Drosophila melanogaster: one gene and its partners. Changing the gene in region 1 together with any one later gene gives a genetic interaction. Each region holds a gene or a part of one and is shown in the gene's direction. Other genes may lie near its edges.

What was found.
Region 2: of kek6 (region 1) and Vap33, changing one suppresses a phenotype caused by changing the other (phenotypic suppression), as found in Drosophila melanogaster (one study listed by BioGRID).
Region 3: of kek6 (region 1) and Toll-6, changing one suppresses a phenotype caused by changing the other (phenotypic suppression), as found in Drosophila melanogaster (one study listed by BioGRID).

Annotation. Positions count from the first base shown.
Region 1 is NT_033777.3:31,618,845-31,626,430, forward strand, and holds the start of kek6 (kekkon 6), read left to right. Parts: upstream 1-3,291; 5' UTR 3,292-3,978; intron 3,979-7,586. Other genes in the region: pasha (partner of drosha), read left to right, coding at 397-600, 666-1,615, 1,672-1,926, 1,986-2,273.
Region 2 is NC_004354.4:3,946,204-3,955,861, forward strand, and holds Vap33 (VAMP-associated protein 33kDa), read left to right. Parts: upstream 1-2,771; 5' UTR 2,772-3,169; intron 3,170-3,277; 5' UTR 3,278-3,446; coding exon 3,447-3,510; intron 3,511-5,211; coding exon 5,212-5,364; intron 5,365-5,432; coding exon 5,433-5,542; intron 5,543-5,625; coding exon 5,626-5,838; intron 5,839-5,904; coding exon 5,905-6,018; intron 6,019-6,563; coding exon 6,564-6,719; 3' UTR 6,720-9,239; downstream 9,240-9,658. Other genes in the region: Gem4c (gemin 4c), read left to right, coding at 1-1,386, 1,446-1,900.
Region 3 is NT_037436.4:15,333,643-15,340,578, forward strand, and holds the start of Toll-6 (Toll-6), read left to right. Parts: upstream 1-3,049; 5' UTR 3,050-3,582; coding exon 3,583-6,936.

The DNA of each region.
Region 1 (7,586 bases):
CACAGTGCAGGCGCAGTTCTTATCTCAAGATCTTGGGGGCCTATCATTGTGCAAATACAGGAGGCTGATAAAAGAGTCAGCCGGCAGGTTAAACCCTGATATAGCAGCTTCAGTTTTCCTTTATCTTATTGTAAGGCAGGTGGTGGCAGTTTTGTGCGGACAGTTCCATGCGCATGATACCCATTATCCGACTGGCTTGTCCAGTTGCGTCAGGTAGAGCCAGTAATAATGAAGGATCACTTTAATTAAACATCAAAGAGCTAGACAATTAGGTGCCAATGGCATTCATTCAAATATTCCGTGAAGATGGCCATCAACTTCGCGGCTGGTTTTCCATTTCCCAGACAAACAGACAACTTATTTATCCGTGATTGTATCTCCTTACATGGCAACCAGACAACGCTAGCGAGCAGCAGGGCGGAAGGTATGGAGAAGGAGGCGACGAGGAGGAAGAGGCGGCTGATGGTGACGGCGAAGAATACGATTCCTCGGAATTCGATGATGACGAGATCGAGAATCTGCTGGACGAGAAGCTGCCCGAAGAGCTCCGCGAGTCAAAGCAGCCCAAATACGAGCAGCGTTTCAAGACTGTGCTGGAAGGTCAGTGCTTTTCGTCGAACCAAGTGTCCAAGATGACGAGTATTTTAATGTGACTACTCTTTTAGAAAAGCGCCTCAACCACTTTGAAGTCCTACCCGAGGGATGGGTGCAGGTGACCCACAACAGTGGAATGCCGCTCTTCTTGCATCGCAAAACTCGCGTCTGTTGCGCATCGAGGCCCTATTTTCTCGGCACTGGAAGTGCCCGCAAGCATGCAGTGCCCTTGGGAGCAATCCCCTGTCTTAACTACAGGCGGGCTTTGGAGGAAGAGTCGGAGGTGGAGCAACAAAAGACGGATGGAGCGCCGCCAGTGGCTGTATGTCCCATGGCCGGAGCTTCCGCTTTACCGGCCGAAGCCATGGACGTGGAGGGAAAAGAGAACAACGAAGGCAGCACCGATTCCAAAACCCAACCAGATGGAATAACTGCCCTTATGCCGGCTGCTAAAATTGTTACGGTCAACGAGAATACCCAAAAGGAATCCATTACACCGGAGCAACTAAACACCTACTGCCAGAAACTCTTCAAATTCAAGGTGATTCGTGTGCTGCGATTTCGGAGTTGGAATGCTCGCCGCAAGTTCACCAAAAACCGCAAACACATCAAGAATATTCAACGACCCACGCTGCCGGATGGCACTAAGCTTATTAAGTTCCCAATACTAGCGAATGCTGGCGAAGGATCAACGAACCCGCGCGGTCGGAAGGAGTGGATCATGAATCCCAATGGCAAGAGCTTCGTCTGCATCCTGCACGAGTACGTGCAGCATGCTCTGAAAACGCAGCCCACCTATGAGTTCAAGGAGCTCCAAAACGCAGCCACGCCTTACTCCGCCACCGTATCGGTGAACAATCTCAAGTATGGCACGGGCTATGGCACCAGTAAAAAGCAGGCCAAGTCAGAGGCGGCTCGGGAAACGCTGGAAATACTCATTCCCGATGTCAAGGACAAGATAACGGGCAACAATAAGGACCAAAAGAGCGGCACTGCGAAGAAAGCGCAGAGCGATCTGTCTGTAAGCAATCTACCTATAGAAAATGGAACCACTTCTTATTTTTATATTTCTTGCAGGTTTTCGATGACATCCGCATCGAAGATCCCCGAGTCACCGAATTCTGCAACAAGACGACGGAGCCATCTCCCAACGCCATTCTGCTGACTTGCTTGCAGCGCAACTACGGCAGCGATGTTCAGATCAGCCAGGAGATCAACCGCACCGCGAATAACAAGAACGAGTTTACCATGACCGTGGGCAAACATACTGCCAAAGTGGTGTGTAAAAACAAGCGGGAGGGCAAGCAGTTGGCTTCGCAAGCAATCCTCCAGGTGAGCATTGATATTTCTTTATAACTTTACTTATAGCTATTGAGTTAACCTTTCGTCAGATTTTGCATCCGCACATCCAGACCTGGGGTTCCTTGTTGCGCCTCTACGGCAACAACTCCATAAAGACCTTCAAGGAGAAGAAGCTGGAGGAGCAGGAGATCACCGTGCTGCAGAGCAAGGCGGCAGTCAACCAACCCAACTACGCCATACTGGACAAACTTAAATCCGAGATGTTGAAACTGTGTGCCAAGCAGGAGAGCGTCCTAACCATGGGCACTTTTGTGCCGCCAAGCGACGTCGATCTGCCCACTTCCTCCGGGTCCAATTTGAACAACGTGGAACTTTGATTGGGAAACACACATCTCTCTCGCCAACATTGATTCTCTAGTAGTGCATGACAACCTCCTAGTCTCTTAGTTACCCACCCATTTCCATATTCGAAAAGCTAATGACAACAACGACGCGTTCTCTAGAGGCATACGAACTGATTTCAAATCGGCTTCATCTATCTGAGCTGGTTAATCTGAAGTGGCTTTAGCAAGTGGCCAAAAATGAAGAACAATTGCCTATCAAGTGGTTTTACATTAAGGTAAATTCATCACTAAATTTGCCAAATATAAGTAGTTCATGCTTGCAATAGCTAAGATTAGGGGTTCAATTTCACTTGTATAATATAAGCTTGAATAAAATACTATTAAAAACGCAGTCCTTTATATTTGAGTATAGAGATGTTCGTCTAAGATCTTTATCTGCAATACCAATTAAAAAAGTAGAGTTCTTAAGTATTTGACAACTATTCATTTGGGCAGACAGCAGGACAATTATTTGCTCATGATTTGTTTATCAAATTTCCTCGTAAATCTTCTCGTATCGCTTTCATTCTTGGAACGTTCAAACACCATTGACCCGTAACCAATTTGGAAGACATTTTAAAAAGTCGTATGGAATATAAAAAAATGCATATTTACATGGCCATTAGGATTCTCGGGTGTTTTTAGGCGGTCGGTCGTTAGGTGAGTGGATGTTAATATTTAAGGCGGTGGGCAGGGTGTAGGTTCGTAGGTGTGTGTGCGTGCAATTATTTAAAAGACGATGCAGTCATAAATTATGCTACATTTTCATTTCATTCTAACGTTTCCTTTTTTATAGCATTCCAACGAGCGTGGCACACACACATACCCACCACGGAGAATGCGGAGAGACAGTCGCAGAGAGAAAGTCCGAGAGAGAGAGCGCGGGAGAGCGGCGCAGGCGCAGATCCCGGATTTTGCGCAGCAGCCATGCTGCGAGATGAATTGTGGCGAGTTCTGACTTGCCAATTCGCAGGCCATATCTGTATCTTCAGTACGGATTCTTCGCGTGGCGAGAAAACCACTTCCCGGCGCTCCTATCCTCAGGACTTTCGTCTGGGATTTGTAATTGAATCACAGTAACTCGGGACAGACCGAAAAAAAAAACGGGGAGAAAAACAGAAAGCCAAGAGGTGAATTCGGTGGTACAGCTGAAAAAAGGCCAACTGCAGTGCAGAGCAGAATCATTTTTATTGACATTCATCTTAGTTGCCCCCTCATCCCTCGGTGCCCCCAAAAAAACCAACTTCATAGCCCCCCAGTTCCTCGATTCTCGACTCTCGACGTTCGATTCCCGGTGCTCGTGTGTCGCGTGTTGCAAGTGCGTGGGTCGCGCGTCAAATCAGTGGATGTAGCAAGCGGTACGACACGCGCGCCGTTTTTGATTTTTCGCCCAGCGGCCCAGAAATCGGGCCTGGGAAAAAAGTGCGGATATTCGGTGAAAGACGGAGCACTCGGAAAATAAACGGAAAATCGGGTACACACACGCACTCCTGTACACCGTGTCCAATGCATTTGGCCCGCTTGGCCCAAGCACTCGGAGATATGTAAATTATGCCAAATTCCATTGGAATTTCCGTCAGAGCCAGTGAATCGGTAAGCAGCAGCCGCCGGAGCAGCAGAAGGCGGAGGACGCAGGACGCAGGACGCAGGAGCAAGCCAGTAGCAGCAACAAGGACTGGAGCAACAGCAGTAGGCGAAGGTAAGCGGTAGCGCATTAGGCGCCAAGTGTCAGCGGAGAATGCTGGAAAATTCAATAATCCGCCGCAGGGCGCCCGTTTGTCCCCCTCGTGCCACACGTCCTCCTCGCCGTCCGCCTGCCCGTCTGCCCGAAAAACCCACTCCACGCTTGCCATCTGGGCGCATACCGAATGAACTCGTGCACGGGCAGAAAAAAGTGGATACTACTTTATTTTGGACTGAAAAATTGATGGTGGAATTGTGCTTTACGGTCATTGTCTTGGAGTTTGTGCAATTTTGTGAATTTCCATCCAACGTGTTCCCAAATAAATCCCTACGGCTCAAATGGAAATGGGGTATCGGCTCTTCAAACCCCAAATCCACATCCTTTTTCACAAGGAGAGGCGGTATTATTTATCTTACATTATCGTATAATGGCATATACATATGTATCTGTAGGCGTGTGTTAATTGAATTGCAATATTTGGGAATTTTATGGCGCCGCAAAACAACAGGAAGGGTTGAGTAAATATTGGCAGAGTAATCCACAGAGCGAAGCTGCCAGCTTTTTCTCCTTGTGCACTTACATGGCACATATAGGATACTCGCTCGGCTCTGGCGTAGTCTGTTGCGTCCAAAAGTAGGTTGACTTCGGTCTGGCCGGGTTTTCGGGATTGGATGGGATGGGATGGGGTCTGTTCTGCTTTGCGTTTGGCGATGGCTTTGTTGCCGCTCGATATTCGTTTAGTTTCTATTTCTTTTGCTGTTTCGGTTTCGTTTTCACTTCCAGCTAATTTCGGTGAAATAAAGAGATGAAGAGTAAATAAGAAGTCGGGCGGAGTGAGGACGAATTGGGGGAGCGCCACTTCCCGCGGGAGAAAGTGTCCTTCCTTTGAAGTTGTGCTAAGTAAATCCAGGTAATGCTGCCCAGGACCGCAGGCTTCCATTTTGGGGATTCCTTTCAAGGACTTCTTGAGGAAACAGACGAATTATAGACCCTTTCTAATACATTTTCTTTTCCGGGCTTCCGATGGGTTCGCCTCCTTCTTCAATATAAAAAAACAAAATTTCTCTAAGTTTCGTTCAATTCGGGTTGACAACATCCATTGGATGCAAGAATGTTGGGTTCGAGTAAAAGTTTCTTCCCCATTTACACCTAGTAACTGTGCCAAAAATCGATTATAGAGACCCTTGCTTTATGTTTTCCTAATTCCAATTGATGTGTCTGTTAACTGAGTTGAAAGTAATACTCGTTTAAGTTCTAGCTGAGACAAATGGCAAATACGTTTATCTGCAAGGATTTGCCCTTAATTGCCTTCCCAAAATGCTTTCAACTTGAAGGCATTTAAATCTTGCTTTGCCATTTTGTGGCTTTGTGGCCAAAGCTCTTTTTTACTTAGCCAGATTTTTCCATAACAAAACAGATTTCAATGTTTTTCATGTGCACCATTTTTACAAATACAAAAACTGATTCGAAGTGGCTAAAAAGTCCGAAGAAGGCAGCTCACGTAAGCTTTCCTTTTAATAATGCTCACATTCCCCGAAAGTTTGTTTTAATTAATATTCCGAAATGCTAAACAGACGAAACCAGACAAACAAGCCAGCGAAAATATTTATACAAACCTGAAAGTAAGTTCCCTCGGCTGGAGCCAAAATTTCAAGGGATGCGTAAACTTGGCAGTGAGTCCTGCCCCTCCTCCTCCGCATGCCAAATTCTCGTTTGCGGGTTGCAATGGCAACGATCTGGGAACGATGGCACCGCAAGGTGTCCTTTGATGTCTGATAAGCAAATCCCGGCAATGTGACACCTTCGGCTCAATGGATGACCGACCCGTCGTCACCCATTTTCCATCCTCCATCTTCCATTTCGCATTTCCCACAAAGCGAGCGACCACCAAGAAATCGGAAAATCGGGGGAGCGGTGCGAGTACTTAATAATGCAAATACCCACAAAAACTTTTTGGGGGTTGGGGTCCTGAAAAATTCCAAGAGGGGCTTATCAAATTCTTCGAATGGCTTTGCCCAAAATAGAAAAGTAAGCCAGAAAAATCGCATTCACTCAGTGGCGCTCGACTGTCGGCCAATTTGGCGTGCTAACAAATTATCGCTGGCCGGGAAAATCAATAAGCATTAATCTTGTGGCGATTTTGTCTATATCCCGCACATTATTTGCATAGTTAATGGCCAGGACCACGGGTGCCGTTGGCCATTCAACCGACCACCGACCACCGACCACCGGCAACCAACAACCGATGGGTTTAAGTCCGAGTGGTTGGGCAATTGTTAAAATCGTTGTCCGCCGGACGAGGTGATTATAGCCACTTGTAGTTATGATTGGGGAATCGATTTCAGGCGAAAACCGTAAGCTCCTGCCGTTTACTTAACTGGAAAGTCGGACGGATTCGTCTGCATTTGCATTTGTATAATTAAAACCGATGTAGAACTCTGGAGCCCCGGGCGAATTGTGATTGTTCGAGTGTTTGGCTTCCTGGGAAACCCAAGGTGTTTCGATGTGGCAGGAAAGACTCCAATTAACATTCTCAAGGACTGCGTTGCGACGTAGATTGAATCTTGTGTGTTCAACACGGCGTATACATAATGTATAAATGAGTTTTCTTAGAGGCAGCGTGACATGTGAGTTGTCCATTAAAAGGGAAATGAAATGATTCTGTTAATAGACCCGGGGGATTCCTTTTTGATTGGTCTTTGGACGTATGCACACCCACTCCCCCCAACGCTTTCGTTTCCATATTGACTGCGAGCGGCACCTTAACGCCCGCAAAAAGCAATCTCATCGAAGGCAACTTTATCCCATGAAATTAAAATTTAATTTCAATTAACTTATCACATCGTTGCCAGCATCCGACACCCGAAACCCGACACCAATCGGGATTCCACGCCTCCGCCGCATCAACACATTGAACGCCCGGCTAATCTACCACAAAATACCTTAAGGTGGGGCATCCCAGATTCCCCCTTTTGCATTTCCCTGTCACCTTGCCAACCCACCAACCGACCAACGTACCAACGTACCAACGTAGCAACTTACCAACTTGCCACCTTGAAAATTTCATAATTAAACGTTGCCCAACGCCGGCTTAAACCCGGCCAAGCCGGGCTAGGGGCATAGCCCTGGGTGACATCTTCGAGAATTCTAATTAAATCATCCCCGAGAACTTTTGAGGACTTTCTGTGTTGATTCATGTTCCATGTGGCAGCTGCCCCGAGTTTGCTCGGGAATCCAAAAAGGCAAAAATGAAAAATAGATGAGCAAAATCCGAAAAATGAAATGGAAAACTTTGCTTGCCCAGGAATTTCACTTGATTTCTATTTGTTGTTCTCCTGGCGAACACCTCCACTCCCCTCCCGTTCTCTTTTTAGCCATTTACCGGTTCGAGTTATATGCCGACTAATTTGTGGTGTTTGCTTTTGGCCTCTTCTGACTCTTCTGCTGCTCCAGTGGTTCCCTTTCGGTTCTGGCCGGGATCTTTGCCGAGGATTATGCAGTGTGGTCAGGTCGGAAGGAGCGGCTATCAGTATCTCCTAGCCATACAGACGAAAAAACGGATATCGCATTCTTAAAAATAAAATAAGACCGATTTACTTCTTAAATTAGGTAATCACATTTGC
Region 2 (9,658 bases), on another chromosome or scaffold:
ATGAAATGAAATCGAAAAGTGCTTTGTATAACTGCCAGGAGCTAATCTGTAGACAGACGGCAGAATTGCTTAAAGTACTCCAATCAGATAATATGCTCGGAGAGCATCCGGTTTGCAAGCAGATGCAGAGCTTTGCGGATGCAGCAAAAACATTGGAGCAGCGCGTTGCCGAGATGAGAATGGGTGAACTCTTAGTCTTTCTCGATTCCGGTATGGCCACCGATGAGGAGTTGCTCGCCGGGCTGGACAATCTCTTTAGCCGCTTCATAGCCTTTGGTAACGATGAGTGCGTGGAAACGATGGCAAATCATTTAATTATGCTCACCAAGAAACATGCCCAGATAATACTCAGTTTCCTGGGTCAGGTGGTGGAGTCCGAAATGGTGGTCGAGGACGAGGGCATATCCGTTACGGAAGTAAATCAGGGGGATGACGAGGACGAGACCTCGTCCAACGATGATTACGAAGAGCTGCTAAGCCTAGTACTGCGTCCCTTATTTATGCAATTAAATGTCGAGGACAAGATGGAAGTACTGCTATTGCGCGATGAGCAAAACGTTACCCAAGGATTTAATTTCAAGGCTCCCGATCATCGGGAGCGTCGCATACGCTTCTTTAATCAATTGGATTATAATAAGCGCTTCCCGATAACCAAATTTCTAGTACTGTGCTTTGAGAACGCAAGACAGACCTGGATTGATTTCTCCCACTTGGGCGTGACGCATACTCGCTTCTCGAAGCTATTCTGGCACATAGCTCAGTCTTGTCCCAAGCATGCTGCTTTTCATATTTCCGCCTGTGCCGATAACATCTTGGTGAACGAGCAACTACTTCAAAAGCCGTATGCCTTGCAGTTTACACTCTACCTATATGGCCACCGACAGATCCTCAACGGTCTCTACACGTCAGCGCGACAACTGTGCGTTAGTTTGAAAGACGGACGGTGTCCCTACGGAGAGGATGAGCTTAGGCAGGCGCAAAATAGGTTCCTAGACGCGTGTGCCTACGGTTTGGCCAAGTTTATAGAGCCCATGAACTTGCCCAGCTTGCAGTTAATCTTGAAACTGCTCAAGCAGATTAGTCTGGGTGAAAGCAATCTAATCACCCGAGGCACTGCAGAGTTAAATGCACTCGAAAAGGAGCACCCGAAATTGGAGAACGGAGACGATGCACCAGCTGTCAAGGTGGCCAAGCACTACACATATCTGAATGCCAGCTTGCCAGAGTGGCGTTTGAAACACTGGAAGCTGATCTCGCATGTCATGAAAACCATTGATGCCCTACGCTGGGACTTGGCCACCTTTGAAGATTTCCGGGTGGATAATTTAGAACTGGCGGTGTGGTATTGGCAGGACGGTCTGTCTCATCTGACATTCCTAGGCACTGGTGCGCTCTTATAAATGTAAGTCCAAGACGAAAGCCTACTAATTATTGCTCTTTCACAGAATGCCGCCAGAGGATCTTGAACCAAGTGAACAGTTTAAAGCACAAGGGCTTTTGGCTCATCTACCTTAAAGAAGACACCTTAAAGGACACACGCTCCTTTCTCAAATTGCTAACTCAGTCCAGTGCACAGGAGGCTAACGATCTCTTCAAAAAGCTCCTTAAAAAAAGGGCCGATTGTGCTGTTATGGGCGATCTTAGCGATGCAGTGGTCAAGGTGAACAGCGAGTCCGCTTTCATGGCCTTTAGATTCCTATTTCGAGAATATTTGATCGCCTTCCGGAGCCACGCCAAACACAATAAGACCATCACGAAGCGCCAGCATTGGGATCATTTGATGGCCGTTGTGGCCAAGGCTCCATTCTCCATTCGCAACGAGATTATGAAGCTAGCTAGTAAAGCCTTCGCTGTGCGATTCGGCATAAATATCCAGGAACAGCAGGCGGCCAAGTGTTAAGGAGATGCTGTTAGAAGTGTAATTTTCTTAAGCCAAATCGAAACTCCGCCGCTTGTCCAACACTTTAATTCTTAGGCAGTCAGATCTCTATATGACTAAAAACATATATAATATTCATAACGCTAGGATTGAACATCAGAATAATTTGATATCAGATTATTTTACAACTTTGTATGTCCTTTAAAAGGACGACTGTATGCACATAACAAATGTACCACTACCATGCAAATTTTTTGTCTTACTAAAAATACTTTGGCAAGCAAGTGAAGTTATTCAGCTGAAAATTAATAAAATTTTGCATGTTCTTTTTTTTCGTATTATTATGTATTATATATATAATATACAAAACGCTATGATTGAACATCAGAATAATTTGATATCAGGTTATTTTACAACTTTGTGTGTCCTTAAGGCCGACTATATTTACATAAAATATGTAATACTACCATCAAATACAAATTTGTGTTCTATTAAATAAATGCTTTGGCAAGCTTAAAATTATTGTAATTTTGCATGTTCTTATTTTTATTCGTATTTTTATGTATTACTTCGACTGCTTTGCTTCCTGTTGCAAAATTGTAACTTAAAACTAGGAAAATTTATTTTAATACATTTTTAAATTTCATGTACTCGTTATGTTATAAATTTAACTAATTTATATTCTGTCAAAAGCTGAATGGCATTATTCAGGGAAAGGAAAATTTTGGTGCAAATTGTTATTAATAACATTTTCAAATTACCTAAATAAAAAAAAATAGAAAAAATATCTTGTCTTAAAAAACACTATATATATTTTACAAGGTAATTTAACGACCAATGCTTGACAAGTATCGAAAAGTCGCTAAACTAAAAATATCGATACCCGATGCATCGATATTTTTTTCACATCACTAGCTGACAGAATATATGGCTTTTTTACATTTTGCGTTTTCAACTGAAGTTTGCGAAGAAACCGAAGCGTGGTAAACCACTGAAATCGAAAATATCGACAGAAAAGCGACCTAAAGTCGGTGAAGAAGTCGCACGTTGATCGTTGTGTTTTTTTCCCGAAATTTTCTGCAAAAAGCCCGTGCGTGCGTGAGTTTCTCTGGCTCTTGCTTTTTTTTTGTCCATGCGTGTGTGTGTGGTCGCATAAATTTACCGATATTTCGCCTGTGAGAGCGAAACGAACGAAAAACGAAAGAAAAAAAGAGAGACGAGTAAAGTAAAACGAAACAGGCATAAAAACAGCAGCAGTTTTCTTGATATATTTGGCTAAAAAACGCAAACGTAAGCGAAAAATTTGAAATCCCTCTTTTAATTTAGTTGTGTGCCTGTGTCTCGTATCTATGCGTGCGTCTGCATTTTAATATAATTTTGTGTGCATTTTCTTAACAGCAAACAGCCAGCAAGAACAACAAATAGCTGGGCAAAAACAGGACGCACAAAAAATAAAATTAAAACGATAAGAGGCGAAAAGCGGAGAGAGTGAAATTCTCGGCAGCAACAACGACAAGAACAACACCAGGAGCAGCAGCAACAACAACAACAAAAGCCAGCCGCCACAATGAGCAAATCACTCTTTGATCTTCCGTTGACCATTGAACCAGAACATGAGTTGCGTTTTGTGGGTAAGTTTATTTTACATTATTTTCGCGTTTTTGCGGAAAGGTCGCTGCATATCGACCAAAAAAGCCGATTCACCTCCCATTTCTTGCAAAGAGCAAACTGCAAGTTTCACTTTTTCTCTCTCTCACGCGCACATTTAATCTCCCTCCCTCTACGCTTTCTATTGCCATCTCGCTCGATTGGCTATCAATAATTTCCGTTGTTTTTGTTCTTCCTTTACATACGACACCTTTTATTGTTGTTCTTTTCGGGGTCTACGTGTATCATCGCTCTGCTTCTTTCCGTTTTTTTTCTTTTTTTTTTTTTTGCTTCAGCTCTTTAATGTATTTTATTTTTTGATGCCGGCAGCTGGCGTCGCTCTCTTTCTCACTTGCACTCGCCATCCCTCTCCCTCTTGCTCACTCGTTTCGCGTTTTTGGCTAGCATTATATTTTTATACGCAAAAACTTGTCATGGGCCATTTTAATTTTTTCTTGTCTTTTGGCTCCTTGAATTTTGGCCAAAAAGCAACAGCAGCAGTGACAAAAACAATGCAAAGAGCTCGCACAGTGGGTGCGACAAGTGGCACGGTTGTCATCGCATTGTTATTGAACTCCTGTTGCCAAGCTGCATTTTCCAGTGCATAAACATTTAATTTTTTTCGCGAAATTTTATCACAGTCTCAATTGCAGAACGAAATGTCTACTTAAATGACCAATCATTGTTGATTGCGATCTAGAATAATACACCAATAACCATTCACCATTTGTATTTTGTCTTATTGAAAAAAATTGAGTTAACTTTTCAAGTATTTTGCTATCGCTTCCATTGTGCGCAAATATTTTAATATCTGTGTATGTGTGAGTGAGCCTTAGCCCCATTCTTTTGCAACCCCCTCGCCCACGTTTCCCGTTAGATCGTGAATAGTGCGGTCGGCGAGGGGTGAAAAACACATGCATGACGCGACTTTGTCTAATGAAATTTCCTTGACACACACTTACACCAAAGAAAAACACGCACACGCCATGCTAACAAACAAAAAAAATTCCTTTCGTTAGTTTTTGCCCATTTCCTGGTTTGTTTTGATTTTCTCACCAATGCCTGTTAAAAATGTGACCAAAAAAACTATTTTAGAATGTAAGACCCCGCGATCGATTTCTAGTCGGCTTAAAAGTAATATTCGGAGTAATACTAGCGTTTACTAATCACATTAAATCTGAAATAATTTGAAGTAATTTTTGTAATTTCATAATAGTTTCAAAATAAGTTACACATTTTGGTAGTGAATCCAACTTCAATATGCAGGGTATTCCTCGATATTCAGTTTACTATTCGGTTTTTGTGCCCGTTCTCGATTTTGTTTTGATATTAATTCAATTAATTTGAACTTGCCTCGACCAATGACGCAACGAGCGTGACGCTACACAAAAATCAGGAAGAGTGGGGAAAATCGGGAAAGTAGAGAAATGTGGAAAGTGCGAGTGTTGGGCGCTTTTGGGTTGGGTGGGGCTATCGCCAAAATAGTGTGACTAATCGGGTGCATTCAATATGAAAGGGCGATAATGCCTGTTTTATTTAAAGATCATATCATGAGGAGAAAATCGGAAATCAGAAAATATTAACAATAGGGAAATATGTATGTACATATGCGTTATATGTGCCATGAAATTAATAAGATGTGTTCCTTAAGCTAACACTCATTTTGATATATTCTCGCCTTACAGGTCCCTTCACCCGACCCGTTGTCACAATCATGACTCTGCGCAACAACTCGGCTCTGCCTCTGGTCTTCAAGATCAAGACAACCGCCCCGAAACGCTACTGCGTACGTCCAAACATCGGCAAGATAATTCCCTTTCGATCAACCCAGGTGGAGAGTGAGTATTTCTCAAATGGTATATCGTTACTCTAATAATATCGTTACTTATCCTCGGCATGTACATAGTCTGCCTTCAGCCATTCGTCTACGATCAGCAGGAGAAGAACAAGCACAAGTTCATGGTGCAGAGCGTCCTGGCACCCATGGATGCTGATCTAAGCGATTTAAATAAATTGGTAAGGGGAAACGAATAGGACTCTTAATGATGGCATAGTGTGTATATTACTTTTCTAATCAACGTCCTATTCTACACCCGCAGTGGAAGGATCTGGAGCCCGAGCAGCTGATGGACGCCAAACTGAAGTGCGTTTTCGAGATGCCCACCGCTGAGGCAAATGCTGAGAACACCAGCGGTGGTGGTGCCGTTGGCGGCGGAACCGGAGCTGCCGGAGGCGGAAGCGCGGGTGCCAATACTAGCTCAGCCAGCGCTGAGGCGCTCGAGAGCAAGCCGAAGCTCTCCAGCGAGGATAAGGTATGTTAAGTCGAACAGGCAAAACCTTTCTAATGGCATAATAAATAACGCTAACATATTACCCAGTTTAAGCCATCCAATTTGCTCGAAACGTCTGAGAGTCTGGACTTGCTGTCCGGAGAGATCAAAGCGCTGCGTGAATGCAACATTGAATTGCGAAGAGAGAATCTTCACTTGAAGGTAAGCCAATTCCATTATGACTCTTCATTTTTTCTGTGTTTTGAGTAGTGCAATGTCGAAGTTACTGCTACCTAAGGGAGTTCCTCAGCAGTATTATCAAGATGTCTTCAATATTGAATATTCAGTTTTGTTCGCAATCGGTTAGAATGAGTCGATTCAGCCATAAGGAGAAGCAGGCCTCTGACTTTTTTCAAATTATAGGCTGTACGCGATGATCTCAAAATTGATATGAAAATTAATGACACTATTAGTGACAATTTCTTGCATTAGGTTGCTGTGGTGTACTAAAAATAATCAGCCTTTAAATATAAGTAAATCCAATTTGGTAATTCCAAGAATAATGCAAATAATGATCTGTTGTGCCTGGGAGTTTTCTGCGCGCTTGATATATAATTATTGTTATTATACAATAACTCGGTTCAGTTGGGGTGCTGATTTGTTTTCGAGTTCAAAAAAGAATACATAGGATAAATATTTTGTAAGTAGCCAGATAAGGATCAATCTATCCATTTGTGTAAATTAATAAATTTCTCAACCATTTGCAGGATCAAATCACACGTTTCCGGAGCTCGCCGGCCGTCAAACAGGTGAATGAGCCCTATGCCCCAGTCCTGGCTGAGAAGCAGATTCCGGTCTTTTACATTGCAGTTGCCATTGCTGCGGCCATCGTTAGCCTCCTGCTGGGCAAATTCTTTCTCTGAATGCCATAAACGAACGCCAGCAACATGCTACATGCAACGTGCAGCAACAGTAACAGCAAGAACAGCGGCAACACCATCATACAGCAACAGCAACAACAAAAGCAAAAGCAGCAGCAGCAGCAGCAACTAACAATAGCAACAACAACGAAAGAAGAACAGCAGCAGCAGGAGCATTAAAATAAATTTAATTGGCAGAAGAAACAAACCACAGAGACGAATGTAAAGCTGACTAAACCGGGGACCGTATACATTTAAACGGTTGTATTGAAAATCAAAAATAATCATTGTTTGTTAGCGAAACAAGTATCGCTCAGAATAGTATGGATTATGATGTGAGAAATATTGTTTGGTTCCAACATATTGCTCAAAGACAGATTGGCAGTTCTTGTTTTTAATACGAATCTTAACGAGACTTAAGTGTAAAGCATTCGAAACAATTTTAAGCTGTATTGACGCTTCGTGTATTTCAACCAAAAATATTTAAGTTTTTGCAAGATCTCGCTTGAATTAGTCGCAACCGGACTTTGAGTAATAAGAACATTTGGGCCCTATGAAATCCCTCACATCATAATCAATACTTAAAAAAAAGAAAACATAACGAATGATTACTTTTGGTACCTGGGCTAAACAAAACAAAAAAAAAAAAAAAAAACAAAAAAAAAACCGCAGAGAAAGGGAAAAATAGAAGAGACGTAAAATCGTATTTTCGCAAGGGGGAACATCTCTCAAGAACTCTTTAAAATCCGCTAAGATCCATACGTATATTTGCTCAGATTTTCGATTGCATTTTTTCGCTATTATTAATTTGTAAGAACTTAAGTTTAAAATGCCTCACAATTCGTTTTAATAATTTTTCGATGCATTTGCAAACGGGAAAAGTCAAGTATTTCAAAGAATAACAAAAATTATCATTAATCATACCTTCTCGACGAAACTAAAAGAAAAACCAATTTGTTACTTGAGTGCGAGAATAAACTTCAGTTTTATCAATTTTTTTTATTATTTGCTTTCTTTTTGTTAATTAATTTTTTGCAGCCACATAGACCTAGATGTAAAATTTAAATCGAAAACAGAAACGCAAATGTCAAGAAAAAAACATTTAGCAAAATGCAACAAAAATTAAGAAGAAACACTTGTATGGAAAACCAATCAATGAAAAGCTTCAAAAAATAAAAAAATAAAAACAACAATGCTCTGCAAGGCCGACGCTCTCTAAGAAAGAAAAGTTGCTTCACCTCACCCCTCGTCCCATCACTCTTTCTCATTCTCAACCGTCTGTCCCTCTCTAAATCCCGAAACGAGATCGAACGCGGACGGCGGCTCTATATATACATATTTATATATAATCATTATTGTTTTGGTTGGCATTTGCATTTACTAAGTTTCGTTTTAGTCACTTCAGTGGTTACATTACTACACACATACACACCACTCAATGAACGCTATATATATATATATATATATAGATATATATATATTATATGAATATACTAAATTTCTGTAAGCAAACCTTTATGTAATTTGTGTTGTTTGCCAAGGTCGAATTGAACGATTTCCAGCCCAAATGGCACCGAAATTGAGAAAATCCATCAACTGTATCCGACACGCCGATATATATACGATCTAATAAGTGCAAAAAAAAAATCAATCAATTTTCTAAAAAAGAAAACACAAAAAAAAAAAGGAACGAAAAAACCTTTACTAGAAGCAAAACAAACGCGTGTTGTTCATGGTTTACACTGCACCCGTGGATCCATAGATTTGGATCCATAGATACACCCACCCACCCACTTGGTTCCTTTCGTAGCGCCTACTATTTGCTGGCGATGCATCTTGTTTCACACAATTGTTTCCCCAACACATTTCATTGCTATTGTTCGTGGTTACGACTTTTTTTATATAGTTTGCAAAGCATTGAAAAGGGTATATAGATTTATACATGAATATATATTCGCCGACATGCATGATCGCTGTAATTTCATAGGCATGTGGAAAACTCGTATTTAAATGTTTAACTAGAAATACAGAAAAGAAAAGAAAAAATAAACTAAAAATAAATAAAAGGAAATGTGGAAATAAACAAATGATAAAGACAAAAGCAAATCATAAGCAAATTGTACTTGATGTCAGCTGTAGCAAAAAAAAAAAAACAAAACACAATATATATGAACATAATAATAATAATAAAATGTGAAAACGGAACTTAACATTCAAAAATTGTTTCGATACATTTAACAACATTCAATTGCATTATTTGATTGAAGTCAACCGACACACACACACACTTTACTCACACCCGAAAGAGTCTGTCTCCTCGCGAAGTAGGCGCAAAATCAACGAAAGTTGTAGAAGATCTGGAAGCTGGAGATCAGCACACACACACACATACACACAAGAGAAAAACAATTATTATAATATTTACAGCATGAATCTTAAAAACTAAGCGTTTTTTTCTCAAAGGAAAAGTAAAATGAAACATTGTTAATTAAACATCAAATATCATTTGAAATAAATTTAAATAAAACGAAAAGGAAACGCAATGGTGTCTTATTATACAACTGTGCTATAAATCCCATTTAAGCAGCAGAGATTGTATCCCTTATAAAAAATGCTTTGGTTTAGTTCTTAAATTCTCTTTAGTTAAGTTTTCTGGTTTTTCTTCAGCTTCGTTTCACAATTCGTTTTGTTTTATACAATTTTTACATATCTACAACATAAAACGTACGCGTTTGGAACAAATCGGGAATACGGCTCGAACGGCCAAGGGGATGAGCTTTTTTTTTTAGCTAGCCAAGGTACATAATATCGTATAAAGAACTCTAATGCTATTGCCATTGTCCGCACAAGGAAGGCCAGGATCGAAGTTAGTGTAATGATTTGTTATTAAAGTGCTAGTCGTAGGAGTACGGGCTTCTGGACGTGTGGTCGTTCTTGCCGCG
Region 3 (6,936 bases), on another chromosome or scaffold:
GGCGAAGGCCGGCCAGTCGAAGGAAAACCAAATCAAATAAAATGAGGCCAAAATAAAGGCAACAATTAATAAACGCAAACAGAGTGAAAGAGAAACGACAAACGAGGACGAGCCAAAGCTGCCAAAAAGGATAGCTGAATGGGTGAATCCGATGGGTGTGGGTGGGGATAAGGAACATCGCATTGGGTGGGTACTGCAAGGATGTGGGGCAATGGGCGGTAGGTGGTGGGTGTTGGGTGGTGTTTGCCTGTGACGTGTATGGGCAATTTAAGCTGGCATCAGACAAGCAACTGACAGGAGGGAATCGAGTCCGATGCTCTTGTTAACCAGACCTGCGGTCCCCAGAGACGCAATTGTTACATTTAATTGTGATTTTTGTGCCCCCTCCTCATATATAGACACACTGAAAAACATAAAAGTAAATATTTAGTAATCAAAATGGATTGGAATATGTAATCCCATTTTCACGTAAAACGCGGAATGTACGTCAAAAAATTGTTATAGCGTAGGCTTGTTTAATCTAAGACTCACTTTGGTGTTTTGATTTGAGCTTCCCATTTATCCATGGCAGACCTAATGATATTGAGTTGCTTCAACAGATTGAAAATTTTTTACAGTGCACCCGTAAAGCTGCTTGGGCGCCATAAAATATGCAACCTTTCTTTCTAGCTTTCCCCCTTGGCTTTGAGTGAAAGTAATCCGAAATGCTGTCATTAGGCCGAGTCCATAGCACAGAGCCACAATTAAGATTGACTTGAAAGCCGTCCAGGCGTCAGGCTAATACCACGACAAGGACATCTACTATAGCCGGCAAACCAATCCAATCTGCACACCGAGAGTTATGGCTTTGTCGAAAAGTGGACTCCGATTCAGCTCCGCTTTGCCCAGCCTCTGGCTTTATCTACTGGGTCATTTCTCATAATTTTCCACAGCTCGAGAATTATTGCAAAAGTTAATATTAATGACGTTGATGAAAATCTTGTCATTCGTGTTACCGAAAAAAAAAAAAAAACGAAGCGAAAGAAACCCACGTTATGGGGCACATAAATAAAGGAGCTGCGACCAGGACCACGGACAAAAGCCAGAAGCGTTCACCAAATTGATAACTACCGAAAAAAGAATACCAGGCCGGGGAAGAAATATTCCTTCTTGGTTGCATGTGCCACCACACAAAGGAAAGCGAGCCACAAAACCTCGTCCTTGCCGCCATTTACATTTGAAAGAGCCTGCGAAAGCCTGAAGGTGAGTAAAATAAGGGGTGCACTGAAGGAAAATCTTGTGAATAAAACAGTAATACATCCCTGTACAAGAGTAATTGGTAAAAGAAAAACATCATGTGCCTAAATAACTAATATTTTTAGCGAATATCTTACTGAGAAAATCTCTCAAATTAAGACTGAACTGCAATAGTTTTCTTCACTGTGCAGGAGGCTTATTAGACTTGGCTGCTGTTCGTGGCTCTGCTGCTGCTCCTGCTGGTGATATAATTTTAATAACTTACATAATATATTCTTTTGTGTGGCCAAGCCACATAATTGTTAGAAACATTAGGCAAATCATTACCCCAGCACGAAAAATGGGTGGGAGGCGTTCTGTTGGCTGACGCAATTTGGCAAAAATGTTTTTGTGTTTGCTTTTAGTGGCGACAAAAAGATCCTTAGCCACAACACCCATGGATATGGGAAAACTTTCAAGCCAGCTAAGAAATATTAGCCCAAGATAAAGTGTCCAGGGCAGCTGTTTTTCTTGGGAATTAGTCATGAAAGACCCGAAGTTTATCAAGGTTACCATGCCGTGGTAATCGCCATTGAATTTGTTGGCGGTGATCCATCAATATTTCTGCTTTCACCCAAATATTGAACAATCAAAATACATACATGCCGGAGGTTAACGAAATAAGGAACAATAGACAGTCTTCTTTGTAAATTAACCCTTGGAAAATTTCCTTGATAGATTGATTTCTTTTTCGAGATACCAGGACTACTTTAGGTAAGATTATAATACATTCATCAAAATCATAGGCGCGTGAAGCAAAAATTGTATATTTATTATTTGAAGTAGTAAAATGTTCCAAGTGTAATTAATCTCAAAGAAATATTAATTTAAGTCCAAAAGACAATAACATAATTCAAAATTTAAGTAACTACAAAAATCTGAATTTGCAGTGTGCGATTTAAGATATCCTATAAAAGGAGCTTTTTATAAAAACTCTGCTCACGAATTTTCATATTTGCTATTTCCAGCATCTCCCAATCGAGTCTAACCAAGTCCTTGCATAACTTTCCGGATTTGAGAACGAGGAATCCACAGAAATCCCCACACATCCAAAGCCCAACGAAACCCCATAATGCTGGCCCATAATCATTATCATTAACCTGATGGGGAAGACAGTTTTTTGCTGCTTTGCTGGGCGAAAAAGAAGTCATGAAACCACAGGAATTGTTACATGAGGCGCAAACAAAACAGTTTAATTAAAATTATTATTGTAATTTAATGGAATGTGAGGAATTATTATTTTTATACGGGTCTGGGCCCACGAAACAGGAGCAAAAAGCAGCCGAAGGACCTTCTCGGCACACCGACACACACATGCACATGGCATAAAAATAAATTACGTTTGTATGAAGATTGGCGCTGGCCCATGCACATCATATATTTTCATTATCAAAACAGAGACAGCAGAGAAGTCGCCGGTTGGCGGCGGGGGGTGCGGAGCTCTATCTCCGATTCGGCGGCAAAAAAATAAAGGATATACGAAATACGACGAAAAAAGACAGAGAAAATCAAAAGGAAAACACGAACGAACGCCAGCTGTTCGATGCGATTAGATGGAGAGAAAGAAAAACATTTTCCAGCATCCGTCGAGCCAGAGCGAATTTCCCTTTAGTCATACTCTCCGAAAACTCTCAGCATTTCCCGCCCGTGCAGAGCCTGTCGGCTGCTCTTCGTCTGTTTTCCAGCCCCCTTCGGCTCGCGTTCGGCTTTTCGGATTTTCGGGGTTTCGAGTTCGTGGACGACTCTCCATTTAAAAGAGAAGTTGCGCACGTTGCGGCAGTCAGTCGAAAATCAGCCAACGTGCGCGTTACATTACGAACCGGAAAATATCGACGCTGCTGCACCGCTCAAGTCCCAGAAAAAGTGGGTTCAGTTCAGCCAAATGAAAAAGTGATAATAGAAGTCGAGCCCGCAGCTAAATTGAAATTCATCAAAGGTTCCTATAACGCGACGTGTAATAAACAAAAACTTCGAAGCGAGTAATTCAAAGCGCCGAAACGAATAAAAAAGAAAAATTTAAATATAAAGAGGATAGAAAAGGCCAAGTGCTAGAAAATGTGCCGGGTGTAAGAGAGAAGAAAACACGGAGAGCATAATTAACTAAAGAATCGGGGGAAAATAAAGAAAATCTGGCTTGGAGTAGAGGGAGCACAGAAGCCGAAAATATGTGCGCAGACTTTTCTTTGGCCAGCCAGTGGAATTGATTTTCTTTTCGTTTCTCCCCAAGACCCCCGCTTGTACCGTCTTTCCCCCCTCCGCAAACCCATTTTCCGGTGCCTCCACGCAGCTAAACCGTGAATCGCCAAAATGATCTACTATATGCTACTCATACTGCCCGTGGTCCTGGCCCAGGATCAGCAGCACACCACGGAATCGCTGTCCACCAAGCACCACCAGCAGCAGCAGCTGTCGCACTCGAATGCGATAATGGGTGAGGCTGGGGTCTCCAACTCGCAGCTAATGCAGCCCTCGACTCCGGCGCGAACCCTGCGACCCTTGACCGCGGGCGCGGGTGGTGACCCTTCGCTGTATGACGCCCCCGACGACTGTCACTTCATGCCAGCAGCGGGTCTGGATCAGCCGGAAATAGCCTTAACGTGCAACCTGCGCACGGTGAACAGCGAGTTTGACACAACCAATTTCAGTGTTATACCCGCCGAGCACACGATTGCCCTGCACATACTGTGCAATGACGAAATCATGGCCAAGAGTCGCCTGGAGGCGCAATCTTTCGCCCATCTGGTTAGGCTCCAGCAGCTGTCCATCCAGTATTGCAAGCTGGGGCGACTGGGTCGCCAGGTTCTGGATGGTCTGGAGCAGCTGAGGAACCTGACGCTCCGGACGCACAACATCCTGTGGCCAGCGCTGAATTTCGAGATAGAAGCGGATGCCTTCTCGGTCACTCGGAGGTTGGAGAGACTGGACCTCAGTTCGAACAACATCTGGTCCCTGCCGGATAACATATTCTGCACCCTGTCCGAGTTGTCTGCCCTGAACATGAGCGAGAATCGCCTGCAGGACGTCAACGAGCTGGGCTTCAGGGATCGCAGCAAGGAGCCAACCAATGGTTCCACCGAATCCACCTCCACCACCGAATCGGCCAAAAAGAGCAGTAGCTCAAGCACCAGTTGTTCGCTGGACCTGGAGTACCTGGATGTGAGCCACAATGATTTCGTCGTGCTGCCAGCAAATGGATTTGGCACTCTGAGGAGGCTGCGAGTCCTTTCGGTCAACAACAATGGCATCTCCATGATTGCGGACAAGGCTCTCAGTGGACTGAAGAACCTGCAGATCCTGAACCTGAGCTCCAACAAAATCGTGGCCTTGCCCACAGAACTCTTCGCTGAGCAAGCCAAGATTATCCAAGAGGTGTACCTGCAGAATAATTCCATAAGTGTGCTGAATCCGCAGCTCTTCTCGAATCTGGACCAGCTGCAGGCCCTGGACCTGTCCATGAACCAGATAACCTCCACCTGGATCGATAAGAACACCTTTGTGGGTCTGATTCGTCTGGTTCTGCTTAATTTGTCGCACAACAAGTTGACCAAACTGGAGCCAGAGATCTTCAGCGACTTGTACACCCTGCAGATTCTTAATCTGCGTCACAATCAGCTGGAGAACATCGCAGCCGACACTTTTGCCCCGATGAATAATCTGCACACGCTGCTGCTGTCGCACAACAAACTGAAGTATCTGGATGCATATGCTCTGAACGGATTGTATGTACTGTCGCTGCTCTCGCTGGACAATAATGCGCTGATTGGCGTGCATCCGGATGCCTTCCGGAACTGCAGTGCCCTGCAGGACCTCAACTTGAATGGCAATCAGCTGAAGACAGTTCCGCTGGCCCTGAGGAATATGCGCCATTTGAGAACCGTGGATCTGGGCGAGAACATGATTACCGTTATGGAGGATAGTGCGTTTAAAGGTCTGGGAAATCTCTATGGTCTCCGCTTGATTGGCAACTACCTGGAGAATATTACGATGCACACCTTCAGGGATCTGCCTAATTTGCAAATCCTGAATCTCGCCAGAAACCGCATAGCAGTTGTGGAACCGGGGGCCTTTGAGATGACCTCGAGCATTCAAGCTGTGCGTTTGGATGGCAATGAGCTGAATGACATCAATGGCCTCTTCAGCAACATGCCCTCCCTTCTGTGGCTGAATATATCCGATAATCGTTTGGAATCCTTTGATTATGGACATGTGCCATCCACCCTGCAGTGGCTGGACCTCCATAAGAATCGGTTGAGTTCCTTATCAAATCGTTTTGGTTTGGATAGTGAGCTAAAACTACAAACTCTCGATGTGAGCTTTAATCAACTTCAGCGCATTGGACCCAGTTCCATACCAAACTCTATCGAACTGCTGTTCCTGAACGACAACCTGATAACCACCGTTGATCCAGATACCTTTATGCACAAAACCAATCTGACCCGGGTGGATCTCTATGCGAACCAAATCACAACGCTGGACATCAAGTCCTTGAGGATTCTGCCAGTTTGGGAACATCGAGCTCTGCCAGAGTTCTATATTGGTGGAAATCCCTTCACCTGCGATTGTAACATTGATTGGCTGCAGAAGATTAACCATATAACATCGAGGCAATATCCAAGGATTATGGATCTGGAGACCATATACTGCAAGTTGCTGAACAACAGGGAGAGGGCCTATATTCCCCTGATCGAAGCTGAACCCAAGCACTTTTTGTGCACCTACAAGACCCATTGCTTCGCCGTTTGCCATTGCTGTGAGTTCGATGCTTGTGATTGCGAGATGACCTGCCCCACGAATTGCACGTGCTTCCATGACCAAACCTGGTCCACAAATATTGTGGAGTGCTCGGGCGCAGCTTATTCTGAGATGCCGAGACGTGTGCCCATGGATACCTCTGAGTTGTATATCGATGGCAACAACTTTGTTGAATTGGCGGGACATTCGTTCCTTGGTCGCAAGAACTTGGCTGTTCTCTATGCGAACAACTCGAACGTGGCCCACATATACAACACCACTTTCAGTGGCCTTAAACGCCTGTTGATCCTGCACTTGGAGGATAATCATATAATCAGTCTGGAGGGCAACGAGTTCCACAATCTGGAGAACCTGAGGGAGCTATATCTGCAATCAAACAAAATAGCCAGCATCGCCAATGGGAGTTTCCAGATGCTGAGGAAACTGGAGGTCCTGCGATTGGATGGCAATCGATTGATGCACTTCGAGGTGTGGCAACTAAGTGCCAATCCCTACCTGGTGGAGATCAGCTTGGCCGACAACCAGTGGAGCTGTGAGTGTGGTTACCTGGCCAGGTTCAGAAACTACCTGGGTCAGAGCTCGGAGAAGATCATAGATGCCTCCAGGGTGAGCTGCATCTACAACAATGCTACGAGTGTTCTGAGGGAGAAGAACGGTACCAAGTGCACTTTGCGAGATGGTGTAGCCCACTATATGCACACCAACGAGATCGAGGGACTGCTGCCCCTGCTCCTGGTGGCCACCTGTGCCTTTGTGGCCTTTTTCGGTCTGATTTTCGGACTCTTCTGCTATCGCCATGAGCTGAAGATATGGGCCCACTCCACCAACTGTCTAATGAACTTCTGCTACAAGTCACCCCGATTCGTTGACCAGCTGGACAAAGAGCGTCCCAATGATGCCTACTTCGCC